4 linked regions of the Arabidopsis thaliana genome follow. The protein of the gene in region 1 interacts with the protein of each later gene in a pairwise test. Each region holds a gene or a part of one and is shown in the gene's direction. Other genes may lie near its edges.

Region 1 (3,810 bases):
AGCTCAAGGCATGGCAGAGTTTACATATTTTTGGAGTGAATTGATTCTTGTTGTTAAAAACTCAACATCAAATCAGCTTCATGAACTTGAAACGCTTCTAAAGCATAGATATCAGAGTGAAGGATTAAGAACAAGTACCCACAGATGTCATCCTCGCTTCACCACTGATACATCGCCTACTACAATATATAGGAGACTGCAATTGATTTCACTGGTCCAGAGAAAGCAAATTTAGATGCCAACTTCTATCTCACCTACAAATGTATAAAGGGCATTGTTACAAGAACACAGGAAAATTTGTACCGATTTATACAATGGCAAATTTGTACCGATTTGTACCTACAAATGTACCGATTTATAAAGAGAAATCTTGCATGTTGGAAAAAAGCAAGAAAATTTTGAAGCTAGACTTTTTGATACATGAAACAAAACACAACACTTTTTCAGGAACATTGTTTGGTCAGACGAAGTAAGCAACCTACAAGAATCTGAACTTCTTTTTAATTATCCAACGCCAAATCTACTTGATAAACATTAAGATAAAGCTAAGGCGCTTATCAGTCAACTACACACTTCAATAACAAGCACTTCATTAACTGAAAAAACAAACAAACTAAAGAGGTCGAATTCTCACCAGAAACAACAGTCACCTCTTCATCTGCTCTCTAAGAACACAAAATCCTCAGCTTTCCCAGAAAAGTAATCGGACTTGACTCTGTTTTCCCTCACTTTTTTCTTCTTTCAAAAACCAATAAACAAAAAGATTCAAGTCAATAAGAAAGATACAAGAGGCAAACGCTGGATGCAGAGGTTTATCGATCTATTCATGCTTTTACATTTTTAATGTGTTCACAGGAAGAGATCGATGAACCGCTGCCTCCAGCGACTCTCACTCTTCTTCCAACTAAACTCCAAAATGTCAACGAAACATAAATTTTCCGAATCGGATCAAACGAAACACATCAGATCTGAAAATTCAACAGTCAAAATCTATACCACAAGTAGTAAATAGCTGGATCTTTATTGCCTTATGAAACCAAATGGACAAAAACATATACCCTAGATTACACACATGCATCTGCAGACAAACTGGGAGAAAGAGAATCAGTGTGATGATAGAGATATGTCAAATTAATGAATCCAACAAAGAAAGAAAAAGGAAACAGAGAGATGAAAGTTTTAACCAGGAATCTTCTTGACCAGATACCATTTGTGATTCTCTGATTTGCCTATTGGCCTACTACATCCCTCCTCTCTCTCTATCTTTTAATAACAAACTTTATAGATCTGGTTTTTTCTTCTAGAACTAAAATGTATTTGATTCATATTTATAACTAAAATGTATCTAAAAGTCTCATAACATATTTGTCCAAGAAAAAATTGTAGTAACATAGTTATTGAATTTGAATATCATAAGATTTAGGAAGACATTTTAAAAATCATATTTGAATAACATGTAACATGAATAACATACTAAAAAGAAGAATGACATGGAGTTGGAAATAAATCAAACTCTTACAAAATACTTCAAAATTCAATACATCCCCTAATTTCTCTGATTAACCAGTGGACTAAAAAGCGGATGATTTGTTCAAAACCAAAAAAAAAAAAAAAAACTTGGGCTGAAATGGGTCGTGTCTGCTGCAAGCAAGCCTACATATGTAATGTTCGGTAAAAAGCCCATTTCATTTGTCTTAAAAAATAACGAAATTAGATCTTACGCGCCGTCAATCACTTTAAGGCAAAAGTGAAAGTCACGCACTTACTTCTGGTCTTATGTTTTTTTGCCCTAATCGACTTCTGCGTAGAGAAACCGAAAAAGGAGAGAGAAAATCCGCCGATAAGATTCCGTACGACTGCACGTCTCCGATCTCGCCGTGAATCTGTCTCGAGAGTCTGTTAACTCACCGGATCTCCGTCGTTGATCTGCCTCTGTTTCGATCCGTGTTAAACTCGGTAAAGTCTATCTCTGTTTTCTCCTTTGTTCTTCATCTTATAACTTCGCGGTCTAGATCTTCCGGTAATCTGATTTTCCTTTTGAATTCTGATCATGTAGATTTAAAACTATGGATCCGATGGATATAGTTGGAAAATCAAAGGAAGATGCTTCGCTTCCGAAAGGTTCGGTCTCGTTTCCTTCTTTGGATCGATCTACTACTTAATTTTTGGTTCTGTCAATTTCTTGGTTAAATTGAAAGATTTTGTAAATCTAGCTCTAGCTATGGCTTCAGGTTACTCAATGCAATGACTCTGTATTTTTGTCTGATAAAAAATATGTTTGTTCTTTCAGCTACCATGACGAAAATTATAAAGGAGATGTTACCCGCAGATGTTCGTGTTGCTAGAGATGCTCAAGATCTATTGATTGAGTGTTGTGTAGGTAATGATTATTAGTCTTGAGATTTATGAATGCGAACATTGTTTCAAATTTGCTTATTTCATTACTTATGATGTTCAAATTTGTTTATTGTAGAGTTCATAAATCTTATATCGTCGGAGTCGAATGAAGTGTGTAACAAAGAGGATAAACGAACAATAGCCCCTGAGCACGTACTCAAAGCTTTACAGGTTTGGTGTTACATTCAGCTCAGTCTGATACATCTATGTGAAATATATACATGTTTTGTAATCTTGATTTTGTTAAACACAGGTTCTTGGCTTTGGGGAATACGTAGAAGAAGTTTATGCCGCGTATGAGCAACATAAATATGAAACCATGGTAACCATCATCTCCTAGCTCACAATAAGATCCAGACTTGAATGAAATTATAATCAGTATCATTTGTGTTATTGCCAATTCTGCAGCAGGATTCGCAGAGAAGTGTGAAGATGAATAGCGGAGCAGAGATGACGGAAGAAGAGGCGGCAGCGGAACAACAGAGGATGTTTGCAGAAGCTCGAGCAAGAATGAATGGAGGTGTTACAGTTCCTCAACCAGAGCAACTAGAAGAACCCCAACAACAACAACAAACAAGTCTACAAAGCTAATCAACAAAACCGCAAAGGAATCCCTTATTTTAACATTATCCTTTTGACTTCTTTTTCTTTCTAGCAATATCTCTGTAAAGTGCAAAATTCGTCGCGTCTTGGTGTTGATATGCTCTTTACATTTTTTAACTTAGGGTTGTGTTTTTTCCCCTTTCTTTGAATCTAAAATCACTTAGGTGATTCAGATGTAATTAGTAAGGTTTTTATTGAATCTTAGCAACTAGTGTCATTCGAATCCAAATCCCCTTAAATTATGTGTAACTTCATAATTCTGAAGTCTTGAATCCATTTCTAGTCTGATCACCAAATCTGGATTCCTTTGTACGGCTTCAACATTGAAGCATCTAAACCGGAGAAACTTACCCGGTTTCTTTTCCCAAACCATGGAATTAAACCAAGGGCTAGAGGAGAGGAGTTGGACCACTCTTGGATGTCTAATCAACTGTTTAATTTATTAGTTAAGAGTAATTTTGGTTAGGCAAAGAAGAATGGATTTAACTCTCTCGCCGACATTTTGCGGACTTCTTCTTTGTCAAACACACACACTTCGTTTTCTGCCTTTCAAAGTTTTTTATTTTATCCAGTAATAAGTAATCTAATAATTTTTATAAGTAGATAATTATTTCTACGTAATCAGAATCTCACAATATTTTCGACTTCATTTGTAAAAATGTATCGAGCACTTTTATTTTTTTAATATTATAATTATTCTTCTAGAAAAAAAATTACTTAAAACTTTTATAAAGATCTGATTTCACCCATTTCTGTCATCAATTAATTAAATAAATTTTTGCTGTTTCAGCTCGATTTAATTTGCAAAGC
Region 2 (4,717 bases), about 18 Mb from region 1:
TAGAGTGAAGTAATGTACCTAATCTATCTCGTAATTCAAGATTCATTTTCATATCATCCTTTCGTAATTAGTCTCGTGCACTTATTCTTTTCTTTAAATGTGATCTTGAATATTCAAAACACAGTACAAATAATAGATCAGCCGCTAATTAAATGCGTTAGATAAAGAATAAAGGTTTTGTGCAAGTACCCTGATTTGAAAAGAAGCAAAAGAGAGATATTGGTGAAGAAAATATGATGCCAATAAATGTTTATTCCTCATCCGGATGAAACGTGCATAATCTCTATCATCTTCGGGTTATGATAATTAATTACAAGCTCATGCGGACCTTTGACATGTAAATTATGTCCAAAAGAACAATCATAATGTTTTCTTGGTTCCTAATTAGCATGTTTTCTTTCTGCTCTAAACTTGATCTCAAAAAGAAAATCATAATAGAAAGTCCATAGATCGTATTCGTACGTATACAATTGATAATTAATTAATCGTAGATTCGCTTAATGTTTTTGTTAAGTACGTGTCATAATAATAATTTATAAATAGAAGAAAGGAATTATAATAGTCTAAATAATTAAGGACATGGATTGTGATAAATTTTGATGGTCAAGTACTCGTTTTTTCGATTATTACTATAAGAGTACCCGATTATATCAAAACAAAATGGAGATTTATGATTTTTTGTCTTCTATGCATACCCAACGGTATCATGGGATTGGACTTCACACCTTATTCACAATTTTTTTTCTTTTGTCCTTTTCTGAAAAGGAAATTTCCTATGTCGATCCAAAGTGGGAAATGGACAAAAGTTTTTATTTTCTCTAACAAAAATGGACAAAAGTTTGTAGTATTATGGTATCCACATAGAGATTATTATTGAGAAGATCACGCGGCATTACATATTTAGTTCTAAATGTACAGTATTTTGGATAGGGTAATATATCTCTCTACTATCTAGTCTTTAATTATATCTGACTCGTTAAACTGTGCCTATATATTGATCTATATATTAGCTGTGGCAAAGGTTCTGCAATCTGATAAAGTAAAATTGATTGATAAATGATAAATATTGCTCTTTTGGTGTACATTAACTTTTTTGATATGTGTATTATAGGTCCGACCCTCTTATAAAGTAAAACAAGCCATAGCTTTAGGGCATTTCTAAATATAGTTCGTTGTTAGGGCGACAATATTGAATGCTTACGTGAGTGTAGTTGATGGTCAATACAAATACATCAATTGGTTTTAGAGAACATTTTCCTCGAGTTCGACTGCCCACGTTGGTCGTTCTTTCGTTCATTTAATGGGTTTAGTTGATTACTTCTTTTTATAGTACATTTATTGTTTTCACGTTATGCGCTATTATATTCTTATAAAAAAAGTCTTAATTAAATGATATATTGATCAGTATTTGTCTTGTTTAGTTTTACAACATGGTTGTATTACAAATTATGTAGTATTTATAATCTTATATTTCAAAACATAATTTATTCTCTAAATAACATAAAACTATGGAGAATACAAATTACAACAAAATTTAAAATTATAAGTTCTTACATAAAGTAATTTGAAACAAATTTTCTAAAATATCATGATACCCATAGAGTAATAAAACTAAACAAAATAAATAGACAAATATTCCATGAGTTTGCATTTGAAAAAAAAAAAAAAAGAGAACATACGTATCTAAGAATGATGAAAGATCATTAGTCACCTAATTTTTGAAATTCAACATTATTTACTTAAATTTTCATTTTTACTCTTCCATGGTTACTCAATGCAATTACTTAAATATACAATCTCGATATTATATATAAACATATCATCTAACATAAATTACCCGCCGAAATATGGTAGTAATTTCTTCTCAAATAAAAAGGTATCTTCAATATACAAGTGGTCCCTAAAATACTCTTTCTTCTGTTTCTCCTTGTTTCTTTGAATAGTGAATACAAAAGCAATTCCTTATATAAACCACTTCAAGTCCTTAATCTTCTCTCACAAAGAAAAAACACTATCTCTATCGACAAAGATAAGAGAACTCAGAAGCTTCTACTCTTAAAATGGCAACTTTCTCTTATTTCCAAAACTACCCTCATTCCCTTCTTGATCCTCTTCTCTTCCCTACACCTCACTCCTCCATTAATCTCACTAGTTTCATCGATCAAAACCATCTCTATCCACTACCAAACATTTCCACAGTTGAAGACATTTCCTTTCTTGAATATAATGTTGACAAAACTGAAAACTCTGGTTCAGAGAAACTGGCCAACACAACCAAAACAGCAACCACCGGTTCTTCTTCCTGCGACCAGCTCAGCCACGGACCATCAGCCATCACCAACACCGGAAAAACCCGTGGGAGGAAGGCCAGAAACAGTAATAACTCCAAGGTATGTTAAACCAACTTGTAATGTATCATCTATCATTTATGTGATGGGGTTGGGATAGTCAAAAACATAAATGTTGGTGTGGTTTGGTGAATTAGGAAGGAGTAGAGGGAAGAAAAAGCAAAAAACAGAAGAGAGGAAGCAAAGAAGAGCCTCCAACAGATTACATTCACGTTCGAGCTAGAAGAGGCCAAGCTACTGATAGCCACAGCCTTGCTGAGAGGGTATTTTAGTCATTTCTCTTAACATTTTAATTTTTCTTCATTAATCATGTTTTCATAAAATACATTTTGATTAATATTTGATTAAACTTATATATATATATATGTAAAGGTGAGAAGGGAAAAGATAAGTGAGCGGATGAGGACTCTGCAAAACCTTGTTCCGGGCTGTGATAAGGTCAGCTAGAGTAGAGACAATTTTATTTAGGAGAATTGATAATGGTTTAATTTTATAATGTTTCTAGAAAATGTTATTAATTGATTAAATGTGACTTGAAAACGAATAGGTAACAGGGAAGGCCCTCATGTTGGATGAGATTATAAATTATGTCCAGACCTTGCAGACTCAAGTTGAGGTGCATTTTCTTAATTATTTTGTTTTTTCTTGTAACATTTTATGTTAAAACTAATGTTTCTAATTCATAACTTTTTTTTCTGTTTCATTAGTTTCTCTCAATGAAGCTAACTTCTATAAGTCCGGTGGTCTATGACTTTGGCTCCGACCTTGATGGCCTCATACTTCAATCTGAGGTATTTCATTTACACAATGTCTCTTAATCCGGTTACCGATAAAACCAAGTCATGTATCCCGAAAAGCCGGTTATGGATCTTAAGTAGATATTTTCTTGATGGACAGATGGGTTCTCCAGAAGTAGGAACGTCTTTTACCAATGCAATGCCAACAACTACTCCTATCTTTCCTTCACTATTGGATAATTCTGTAGTTCCCACACATGCACAAGTTCAGGTTTTTCATTTTTTTCTATAAGTGATTATTTCAGATAATAATTATAATAAGGAGAATGAAGATAGATAAGAATCAATTATTGGAAGATTAATAGATAGTGATGTGTTGCTTAATTTAGGAAGAGGGAGAAGAAAGAGAGAACTTTGTAGACAGAAGTGGGTTCAACAACAACAACTTCTGTTCTTTCCCTTGATAAAATTACATGTCGACACAAACACAAAAGCCTGCTTTCGTGAGTTTCTTCTGGTCTTGTCTCTTCAACTACCTAATTATTATCATTACAATTATTTTTAACATTTCTCATATAGAAATTGTTAAAAATCTTGATGTGGGTTCGTAATTATTGCTATCGTTTATTGGATGTAGGTTGATTTAATCTCCTCCCATTTGCACGGAGGGAATAAAATCTACGTAAACCAGGTTTTGTAAAAGTGGATGTACTTATTTGTTCCGTTTATATAGTTTGAAGAAATAAAGTATTTTAGAGACTTAAAAAGCTCATTTTCTCTATTTGTCCCGAGAGTTTCAACATAATCATTACATAAAATCAATGGATAAATTCATACTAAAAGAGAATGGTATATGAGGCAGAGGCAAATTCGATGGAGGAAAGAAAGACATATAAACTAAGAAGACCTATCAGCTTAATCATTGTTTTTTTTAATATAATTGAATTTTGATGTATCCACTCATTAATTTTATAAGTTCTTGTATTTTCACCACTTCTGTCTTTCTGATTTCTTGCACCAAAGTTTCCTTTTTCCTCCAATCTTTTTAAATGTAAACTGTTATCCACACACTCATGTTATATTTCCTATATATATAAAAATGTTCGAGGGATAACTACTTATGCATGTATATAAATCTAAATGATTCGTTTCCTGTCAATTTAGTTGGCTACAAAATTATGTCAGAAGAAAAGATTAGATTTCCCTTCCTGAGAACACTTTAATGTACCTGTTGAATAGTTTGGTCATGCTTTTCTGCTCTCACTTGTCACACATTGATAACTCCCATTCCTCTGTATCTGTCCTTTCACAATACATATGTTATAAGTTTTATTTTAGTTTAGAGTATGTCTAATATATATATACCAAAATTCTTGAAAGAGATATTTGATACTGTTGTATTTGTAAATATGATTTGTTGGTTGTCTAACATTTTCATGAGGTGGTAATTAACGATTCCTTGAGTTATTCAATCCTAAATTGCAGGATTTATTTGAATACACCTAAATAAATTATATGCAAGAGCCTTATGTATATTATCGTTATTCAGTTACATACATATTAATAACCTCTTTTATTAACGAACCTAGAATAGAGATTTTTTTGTATGATTTTCATTTCTTGATGTATATG
Region 3 (4,381 bases), 3.9 Mb from region 1:
CCACTATTCCACTCTGGTTCTCCTTGTGTTTATACAGTTTCTGATTTAAATTGTGGCATCAGTGATTAGTTTAATATGGAGAGCTAACCTTCCAAAGAAGCAAAGGCCTCCGAAGATCAGTGAGAATAGAGTTGCACTCTCCCATCTACAGAACATTCTAGGGAATAAGTACAGAAGCACAACACTCAAAAGTGTCAGTGTAAATGAGGATCAATTGGAGTTTCATACATCGGAATGCCGAGGAAGTTGGTAAGGATGCCTGATGACCGAGCAATGTAAGCCACAAGAAGGGTGTAATGTATGAGAAGATAAGACCAACTACACAACAGAAAGGCTTGTTTCAAGTTTAAATGAAAGAAACAGTGATGGAAAGCAAGTTCTGAAGTGAGAATGAGAGGATGATTACGAAACAACTTGAACTCCAACAGACCCAAGAGTCCGCTTCGCCATTGAGACCTGCCAAAATATCATGTCAAAGCTGAGTTTAAAGACATAATAACTAAGCTAAGTTTTCATAGAAGTATTGGTTTGAGGGGATATACAAGAGATACGCCTCCAGAGCCTAGTTCACTCATGGTGTTGACATTTACTTCTGCAACCAGCAAACCTGTCACAACCTGAAGCCAACATGTATTACTAATGACCAATCCGTTACTTGCAAGAAACATAAAACAGAGATAAGAAGAATCATCCATCATCACCATGAAGGCCCAACAGAGAATGCAGGCGACTGCAGAGGCTAGAAAACCTGATTCTTGTGTCACAGCTGGAATCGCAAGTATCCCTGCACCTACCTAATCAAGAAAAGGATAAAAGTTTAGCAGAAAACAAACTTGATTCCTTGCATAGTTTCAACAAGAATATGGACAGAGTTATGAGAAAGTAGACACACTTACGGTAGTGCCAGCAACCAAGAAAATTGCACTGGACAAACTTCCTGAAAATTTCTAAAACTTAAAAACCAAAAATTTCTATCCAAATTTGGGTATTCACATGCAAAATGGTAACAGTCTTTGTACCGGATTCTCGCTTCAATGTTGATTGATTCAGGTTAGAGAAGAGCCTCTCAAATACGACAATCTTTTCTTCCTCATCTTCTTCTTCTTCTTCTGTTGTTACTTGTGTTTCTCTGCGTTCATCAGACACTCTCTGAGGCAAACACTTGAAGAATCTTGGGGTCTGAGTTCTTATGAATGGGTTTGATTTGAAACCAAAACAAGATGAGGAAATATGAGATCTTGGTAGATAAAAAGGGAGAGGTCCATTGAAACTAATGGGTTTCGTTGGAACTGAAAAGGTGGGTAATCTAAGAAGACAAGTGTAGCTTAGAGACACAGACATGTCTGTGTTTGTCTGATATCAGACACTAGCTATGAAAAGCCTATGATCAGTCTTCTGGTTTGTTTTCTGCGACTTCCGACAGTCAAAAGATTGTGTTAGAGAGAGCTTAGCTTCCAGATTAACATGTGTGGCTGTCTTATTTTTGAAGTTTTATTTCCCAATTAAATTTAAAATCTATGCATTTTATGCTTCTATTTTGCTTTTAGAAAATACTATTTGCATCAATGATACAAAAGTTGTATGCAAGTAAAAGAATAGCAATGCAAACATAAAGTATAATTTACAATTTACTCTATAAAAATAATTTTTATTTATTTTGAGTTTATGGTTTCTTAAGATATCATGTGATAAATCAAATTAAATGTTACATAATACATGCTGTCAAAATTAAATAATTGTTACATAAAACTTGTTAAATGAAAAGCAAAATAAAATATAAGATCTCATTATTAAATTAAAAAAGAGTGGGAGAAAAAAGGTCCAATTGCGTATGATTTGGGTCCGACAAGGACGGGTCAGAAAACAGAGACCAATTTCTAACTAGAAAAAAACAGATCCAAAGGAATTTATTTTTTTTCCTTTTCTTGTCGTGTTTGATGGAATCAATATATATATTTGTTAATTTGATTTTCTCTTGTTATTTATTCCAGAGAGAACGGAAGCAAGCAACACAAATTTCAAAATTAGGGTTTTTATCTTCTTCCCCTTGACTTTGGAAGCTGCTATTCCTCTGTAAAACAATAGCATGAAGAAGAAGCTCCAGACACGTTTTCCAGCGGTATGAAACATTACTTTTCACTGTTTTATAGTTTGTTATGTTCTTCTTCTTATGGAGATAACCATGAACTCTGTTTTGTGAGTTGTGAGAGTAGTTAGGTTCAACTTTTGCTATGATTTCAGGTTTACTTCTTCAGGGTTCCATGGTCCTTGTCTTCATTAGGTTTTTAAATTTATCTTTGTGAATGTATCTTTGGACTTGGAGGGCTCTTTTGTTCATGGCTAGATATAAATAAACTGCAGAGATATCTTGTTTAGGGCTAATCAAAGATGTTGATATCTACATAAGAAATTTCTTAGTGTCTGAGTCTGATTTTGTATGTGTTGATATGTTCAAAATTTGTTTCAGACAAGGATTAAGAAGATTATGCAAACTGATGAGGAAGTTGGCAAAATAGCAATGGCAGTCCCTCTTCTTGTTTGTAAGTGATGTGATGTTTTTGATTTTCTTACTCAAACGTTGTTCATATGTTAGCTTGTGTCACATGTAGTTGATCTGTTCTGGTTTTGAATTTAACTTTTCAGCTAAAGCTTTGGAGCTGTTTTTACAAGACTTGTGTAATCACACGTATGATGTAACTCTAAGCCGAGGTGCTAAAACTGTCAACGCCTTTCATTTGTAAGTGTGAATCTCATCTTTGGATTTTGCTTATATAAACCAATTGTTTTCTTGCTTCTTCAATACTTTTCTATTCTTTTTCCAGGAAGCAGTGTGTGCAAGCGACTAATGTCTTTGATTTTCTAAGAGACACTGTCGCTAAAGTTCCTGATTTGGGTGGCTCAGACACTGAAGACCAATCAGCTACCAAAAGAAGGTTAGGCCCGCTTCTTCTATAGTTCTATTCTATGTCAGCAATCAATCTACCTAATTTTGATATCGGTATCGTGTCTAACAACTTGTTTGTTCGACTTTTCAGGAAAGTTGTTGATGGAAGTAGTTGCAACGATGAAGATATGATAAAGACCACTCAAATGGTAACTAGCCAGACTTATTTTGCCAATAGACAATTGTATATTACTTAACGCATATGTTTCGCCTTGTTACAGCATGAGGTCAAACATACTAGCTGTGGCAGAGGAAGGCGAGGTAGAGGCCGCGGACGAAGTAGTGGAAGAACAGGAAGTGGGCTGTCTCTAAAATTTGAAGAAGATTTAGAAGACGGTTCTCCCGAAAGCAGCAGGACCCCGTCTCCCGAAAACGGGAGCCTTTCTCACGACGATACATCTTGGAAGAAAGTTGCATCACACAACAATCATCATAGTAGTAACTCAGAGGTAAAAGTAAGGAACTTCGATCTTAATGTTGAATTAGATGAGAATGGAGACAATGCTACATGGCTGGAAACACAGCTAGAGAGAAGTCCAGATTACCCGTTGGAGATTAACGAAATGAAAATAGATCCTGATGATCAACAACAGGCTAGTGCTAGTGACGAGGAAGATTATGATGAAGAAAGCATAGACCAAGAGTGAAAGAGTTTCAGTTTAGGTGAAATGACTTAAAACTAAAGGTAGGAGAAAGAAAACAACAACTTAGGAATTGACACACTTATATATTATAGAAGCAGTGTGTATGTAGGAGATTGCTCTCATTCTCTTTAATGTAATTTCGTTTTTTTCATTCATCTCTTCTAATTTGATAGCAAGCTTTACACAAACTATAAAATCATATACATAAAGTATGGTTTAATCTTTGTTAATGTTTAATTTTAATTAAAATATTTAAGTGAGATAGATAACCCAAGATTAATGGAACGACCCGTCGGATCCAAAAGAAAGAAACAAGCGGGTTAAATTGATATCGTCTTCGTCTACCGTTTCTCAAAATCAAAACCCCAGAAAGCAGAAACCTCTCTTCTTCGTCTTCTCTCGTCAATTCAGCTGCGACAATGGATTTCCAGGTCGTGATTCTAGCCGGCGGATTCTCTAGTTATCTTGTTCCCTTAGTCGCCAAGGTCCGTCTCTCTCTTTCACTCTCATCATCAGCATAACAGTTTCGACGAATTGCTAATTTGTTGTTGTTGTTCAGGAAGTTCCTAAGGCGTTGCTTCCCGTAGCGAATCGTCCGGTGTTGTCTTACGTTCTGGATCTTCTCGAGAGTAGTAATCTCAAGGATCTGATCGTCGTACGCCTTTTATCTTTTCAATACAATTACTGATTTCCTTTTGCGAGTTTCTAGGTTGAATGTTTTCAATAGAGCTCAGATTTTTTCGTTTCGCATTGGTGGAACAGGTTGTTGAAGGGGAAGATGCTGCTTTGAAAG
Region 4 (5,576 bases), on another chromosome or scaffold:
AGAAAGTCAACTCAAAATCAGTTTCATTTATGAAATTTGAAATGTTTCTTATATGATAACCATGCAAATTACTTTTTTAAGCTAATGTCATCCAATCGTAACAAGAAAATAACATACAGTAATGAAAAATATTAACACTTCGTTAAGCAATATGTGTTTTGTAGTCATAGACAAAAAAAATGTAAGATTGAAAAAAAACTAACAGAAGGCATATTTTACATGGCATTCAAACTATGTTCATGAAACGGAAACTAGCTACGATCAACATCACTACCTTCAATGTTACCTCAAATCTCACAAAATGAATTTCTAATGACAAATGTATGCTGTTTTCTTCTAAAAGACTAAAAGTGTAAAAACGAATACATGTTTTATATTTATTTTCATTTTTGATTTAGCGCCATTAACTCATGAACCTTTTTATTTGTATTATCAGTTCATCATATATAATACTATAATAGGTTGAGTTTTAGAAAACAACTGAAATTCTGTCACAAATGTCTAGATGAAGCTGATATTAGTTAGATTTTTTTATTTTTGTTGTTGTTGTTAATTTCCCTAGAACATTGGATGAAAGAATTTCGATAAAGATTTATACTCCCTCTGTTTCATATTAGTTGTAGTTTAAGGTTTTTTTCACACAAATTAAGAAGTCATAAAAATCTCATTTAATCTACCTCTTTTATATAAAAACATCATTTATTATAACCAATTCAACCAATAAAAAAATAGATGATTAAATATAATTGGTTAAAGAATACTAAATATATTTATTATTTGCATAGAAAGTTGAAAACAACACTTAAATTGAAAAAAAATAAAAACCCTTAAGCTACATTTATATAGAAACAGAGGGAGTATTGAGTTGCAATAGAGTATGGGGTGAATTAAAGTTGAAAATTTAAGCGTATGCAAAATTTGCTTTCACCTATGAAAATAAATTGAAACCTACTCTACTCTTTTAACAGAAGACAATTAATATTAATGATTTTTTTTTGTTAACATCTAATATTGATGATTTAAACTTTCAAATAAAATGTGTGTTGTTAATGTTGTTATATATGGGTCATAAATTTCACAAATAAGAACGGGAAAACGGGATGAGACCCACATGACCGAACAGCAAATTGTGAGATTAATGATCGAAGCCTATCTCACGCCAGACCATCAGCCGCCACGTCAACACATTCCAATTGTTGGCGGGCCCTTGATTCCATTAATAGTGGCTCCAATTCCACATCTGATTTTTTCATCTATATATATTATTTTGTTTCGTGTTTTTATGTTTTGTTTTGTTTTGTTTTATAATAATTTGGCTAAACTGGATGGTAATTAAGTCTCATGCAAAGTAAAAAGAACATACGAAAGTCTCAATATAGTTATGCGATGTTTATCGAGGATTCTTAGACACTCATGTTAACATTTAGACTACGAATTTGGACCGTAGAACATGACTGAGTTAAGTCTTACAGAAATCTATGAACTTACTTTTGAAGATGCCAAAGGACAAAATGTTCAAAGAGAATATGTGTCCCATATATATAACGGTATTTAAAAAAGAAAAAAGAAGATATTTTAAACTTTGGACCGTCTCCATCAAGGGCTGGTGGGTGGTAATGGATCGGAGGTTGCCGCTCTCTTTCTCTATCAAAATCTTGCTTTAGTACCAAAACCTTATTCGCCTCTCTTTTCTCCCGAAGCTTTTGCAACAATTTAAGTCTCTCTATCTCACTCGGGGTTATTAAAAGACATAGACTATGATTGAGAAGGACAGAGAGAGAGAGAGACAAAGTAGTATAGATTATTAGGACACGGTTGTACACTTTTTCATGTGTCTTCTTCTCTCTTTTTCTTATTCTTATTCATCATCATCACCGTCTGATCTTCTTTATTAACCCTACTCTCTTTCTCTTCTCCCATCCTCTCTCTCAATATCTCTGACTCTTGGGATCCGATCTCTTTCCGGTGGCTATACATCCCGATGATAACTGTCAAATCTTTTCCATATGCATAACATCTCCTTTTAGGGTTCTATCTATCTCTTTCTTTAGTTCTGATCGTACTTTATAGTGCATATCGTGAAGTATTCGATCTTTCCAAGTACAAGGGAAAGATTCAATAGAACCTAGCTAGTCACATACAATAACTCAATTCCGGAGCTTTTTGAAGGGGTTGAGTTGAATCAGCCTGTTTTTGAGTTTTTTTTTTTGAGGTATAGACCCTAACTTCCTTTGAAGATTCTACTCCATCTTTGATCCTCTTCTGTATCTCTATGTTTTTGGATATATTTACTATTTTTATTTTCTTGATAATTGTTGATTTTTTAAAATTATAATTAACATCATTATCCTACTCAATGTTGCTGATGGTACAAGCTAAGCAAAGTATAATCCTTAATAGACTCGATCGTGGTCTAGGTTTTTCCTTAAGATTTGTTTTTTTTCGATTGGTGATTATAGAATGATCCTATAGATATTTCTCATATTTTCCTTTGACTCTATTTACGGATACTTAAAATGCAATTATCAGTTAATCTAACATATTAATTTATGATTAGTTATACGGGAAATGGTTAATTGGAAACTAGTAGTGATATTTTATTTTATGTATCCTTATTCCATCTTCCAGAGTCCTTTGAATCTAAACTCATTTAATCGGCTTAAATCAACTATCTTTCTTTTTTTCTAAAGATGTATAGATATTTATAGGTTTCTTATTCCCACAAAATACTACACACATGAATGTCTTAAATGATACATATGTGTGTATAAATAAGTCGGAAAGATAACCCTAACTTGTGTCTGGCTAAGTAAAAGAAACGATGCAAATCAATGCTAGATCATATATAAAACAAAATCTTGAAAACGAAAAACTGTTTTTCTTAGTTTCATTGACATTTTTCTTTCTTATTAGTTTGCCGATGCACAGATTTTTTTTTTTCTTAAGTTGATAAATGAAATGAGTTTGTATAACAATTACTTTCATGATCCATAATATAATTAACAGTCGTTATTTCATATTATAAACAGGCTAATCTCGGAAAAACAAAGAATAAAGAATGAATTCGTTTTCACAAGTACCTCCTGGCTTCAGATTTCATCCTACTGATGAAGAACTTGTAGACTACTACTTGAGGAAAAAAGTTGCATCAAAGAGAATAGAAATCGATATCATCAAGGATGTTGATCTTTACAAGATTGAGCCATGTGATCTTCAAGGTTTAGCAGGAAAATCCTATCATCTCTCTTTAGTAGTGATATCCTTGTTTTGGTATAAATTAAGGCTTACGATTGTTGTTTTTTCTTTGTGATAATTTAGAGTTATGCAAGATAGGAAACGAAGAGCAGAGCGAATGGTACTTCTTTAGTCATAAAGACAAGAAGTATCCCACGGGAACTCGAACCAATAGAGCCACGAAAGCAGGATTTTGGAAAGCCACTGGAAGAGACAAGGCTATATATATAAGACATAGTCTTATCGGTATGAGGAAAACACTTGTGTTTTACAAAGGAAGAGCCCCAAATGGTCAGAAATCCGATTGGATCATGCACGAATATCGCTTAGAAACAAGTGAAAATGGAACCCCTCAGGTATATATACATTGATCTAAGGCGCTCATACATCTTAACTCATACTCTATTTGCATAAGGAGTTGAGCTTCCCTGTATATACGATCTTTCTTAAGTATGTCTCTTAGAATGAATGCATTTGAGAAATCAATTTACATTAAAAATGCATTGGAGTTGTTCACCATACGACACAACTTCTAATTCCAATATATACAAAAGTGCATTATTCAACTCACTATAAAATTTCATAAACACATGTTATATACATATCATTCATAACTTTAAAATGTTATTACAAGTTTACTAAACTTGTCACTATATCCAAATTCGAAATTCATTGGTCACTACTCACTACACACAAGAACTCATCTGTGATGGACAAGTGTTGTGCATTTGCGATGTTGTAAATGTGATATTTTTATGTGATGTGTGTAGGAAGAAGGATGGGTAGTATGTAGGGTATTCAAGAAGAAATTGGCAGCGACAGTGAGGAAAATGGGAGATTACCATTCATCACCATCGCAGCATTGGTACGATGATCAGCTCTCTTTTATGGCCTCCGAGATCATTTCTAGTTCTCCACGACAGTTTCTTCCCAATCATCATTATAACCGCCACCATCACCAGCAGACATTGCCTTGTGGCCTCAATGCATTCAACAACAACAATCCTAACTTGCAATGCAAGCAAGAGCTCGAGTTACATTACAATCAAATGGTACAACATCAACAACAAAACCATCATCTTCGTGAATCTATGTTTCTCCAGCTTCCTCAGCTCGAAAGCCCTACCAGTAATTGCAATTCTGACAACAACAATAACACAAGAAATATTAGTAACTTGCAGAAATCATCAAATATATCTCATGAGGAACAATTGCAACAAGGGAATCAAAGTTTCAGCTCTCTGTATTACGATCAAGGAGTAGAGCAAATGACTACTGACTGGAGAGTTCTCGATAAATTTGTTGCTTCACAGCTTAGCAATGATGAAGAGGCTGCAGCCGTGGTTTCTTCTTCTTCTCATCAAAACAACGTCAAGATTGACACGAGAAACACGGGTTATCATGTGATAGATGAGGGAATAAATTTGCCGGAGAATGATTCTGAAAGGGTTGTTGAAATGGGAGAAGAGTATTCAAATGCTCATGCTGCTTCTACTTCTTCAAGTTGTCAGATTGATCTCTAGAAATAGTGATAGAGAGATGAAAAAGATGCAAGGTGAATATATATGAAAATACATGCACACTAGTGTTATTTATACTTAAAGATGGAAGGGGAAAAACAAGGAGTTATTTCCTGGATTTATGGAGGTTTTGTACATAATAAAAACCTACAACCATATGGTATTTTCTTTTGATTATTCTTGTTACATTATGGAACTATATGTTATACGCACGCATGTATGTGTGTATGTGTGTATGTATGTATGTATGGATGTATGTATGTATATGCATCCCTAATTATATATATATATATATATATATATATATATATATATATATATATATAAACCATATGAATGATGATTATATGTGACCAATTCTTGAATGAAGGGACAATTACTTCTAAAAAAAATTATACTTGTAGTATATATTTATTTGTTATTGTTGTATACTCACTTAATTCATGTCCCTCATTTTTTGTGGTTCTTCCCTCATGATTATTTGTATGTAGATTTTCAAATATCCAAATTAAAGATAGCATCACCAAAATTGGATACTCCTAAAATATGTATTAAAAATCCGCTTACTACTTACATTTGTACAAACCCCGAATTTAAAGAGATAACATTATAATCTGCTTACTACTTTTATTAGACATCACCATATAGAGAAAAAAACAAGAACATAGTAGAACAACAAATGTTTAACTTATACAACATAAACTAGATTTTAACCCGCGATATACCGCGGTACGATTTATTTTTTAAAAGTAATATATATTAAAATTTGTAAATTTTATTTTTATAAAATATTTATATTTTACAGTTTATAATTGTTATTAA

Evidence for each region.
Region 2: the proteins of NF-YB12 (region 1) and AT5G50915 interact in a two-hybrid assay, tested with the Arabidopsis thaliana proteins (one large-scale study listed by BioGRID).
Region 3: the proteins of NF-YB12 (region 1) and AT5G19490 interact in a two-hybrid assay, tested with the Arabidopsis thaliana proteins (one large-scale study listed by BioGRID).
Region 4: the proteins of NF-YB12 (region 1) and ANAC026 interact in a two-hybrid assay, tested with the Arabidopsis thaliana proteins (one large-scale study listed by BioGRID).

What each region holds. Positions count from the first base shown.
Region 1 is NC_003076.8:2,634,138-2,637,947, forward strand, and holds NF-YB12 (nuclear factor Y, subunit B12), read left to right. Parts: upstream 1-1,694; 5' UTR 1,695-1,956; intron 1,957-2,056; 5' UTR 2,057-2,066; coding exon 2,067-2,121; intron 2,122-2,290; coding exon 2,291-2,380; intron 2,381-2,473; coding exon 2,474-2,568; intron 2,569-2,650; coding exon 2,651-2,719; intron 2,720-2,805; coding exon 2,806-2,988; 3' UTR 2,989-3,296; downstream 3,297-3,810.
Region 2 is NC_003076.8:20,709,596-20,714,312, reverse strand, and holds AT5G50915 (basic helix-loop-helix (bHLH) DNA-binding superfamily protein), read left to right. Parts: upstream 1-1,848; 5' UTR 1,849-2,060; coding exon 2,061-2,390; intron 2,391-2,485; coding exon 2,486-2,611; intron 2,612-2,720; coding exon 2,721-2,786; intron 2,787-2,895; coding exon 2,896-2,964; intron 2,965-3,055; coding exon 3,056-3,139; intron 3,140-3,245; coding exon 3,246-3,356; coding exon of another isoform or gene 3,357-3,377; exon of another isoform or gene 3,378-3,474; coding exon 3,475-3,549; 3' UTR 3,550-3,588; exon of another isoform or gene 3,589-3,722; 3' UTR 3,723-4,210; downstream 4,211-4,717.
Region 3 is NC_003076.8:6,575,979-6,580,359, reverse strand, and holds AT5G19490 (Histone superfamily protein), read left to right. Parts: upstream 1-1,851; 5' UTR 1,852-2,086; coding exon 2,087-2,119; intron 2,120-2,467; coding exon 2,468-2,540; intron 2,541-2,643; coding exon 2,644-2,737; intron 2,738-2,822; coding exon 2,823-2,933; intron 2,934-3,035; coding exon 3,036-3,093; intron 3,094-3,165; coding exon 3,166-3,591; 3' UTR 3,592-3,850; downstream 3,851-4,381. Other genes in the region: AT5G19500 (Tryptophan/tyrosine permease), read right to left, coding at 89-145, 229-318, 407-456, 543-617, 702-794, 897-937, 1,020-1,341; AT5G19485 (transferases/nucleotidyltransferase), read left to right, coding at 4,008-4,073, 4,148-4,243, 4,351-4,381.
Region 4 is NC_003070.9:23,215,399-23,220,974, reverse strand, and holds ANAC026 (NAC (No apical meristem) domain transcriptional regulator superfamily protein), read left to right. Parts: upstream 1-1,765; 5' UTR 1,766-2,212; intron 2,213-2,974; exon of another isoform or gene 2,975-3,029; 5' UTR 3,030-3,058; coding exon 3,059-3,218; intron 3,219-3,318; coding exon 3,319-3,590; intron 3,591-4,004; coding exon 4,005-4,757; 3' UTR 4,758-5,022; downstream 5,023-5,576. UniProt on the Arabidopsis thaliana protein: Transcription activator that binds to the secondary wall NAC binding element (SNBE), 5'-(T/A)NN(C/T)(T/C/G)TNNNNNNNA(A/C)GN(A/C/T)(A/T)-3', in the promoter of target genes.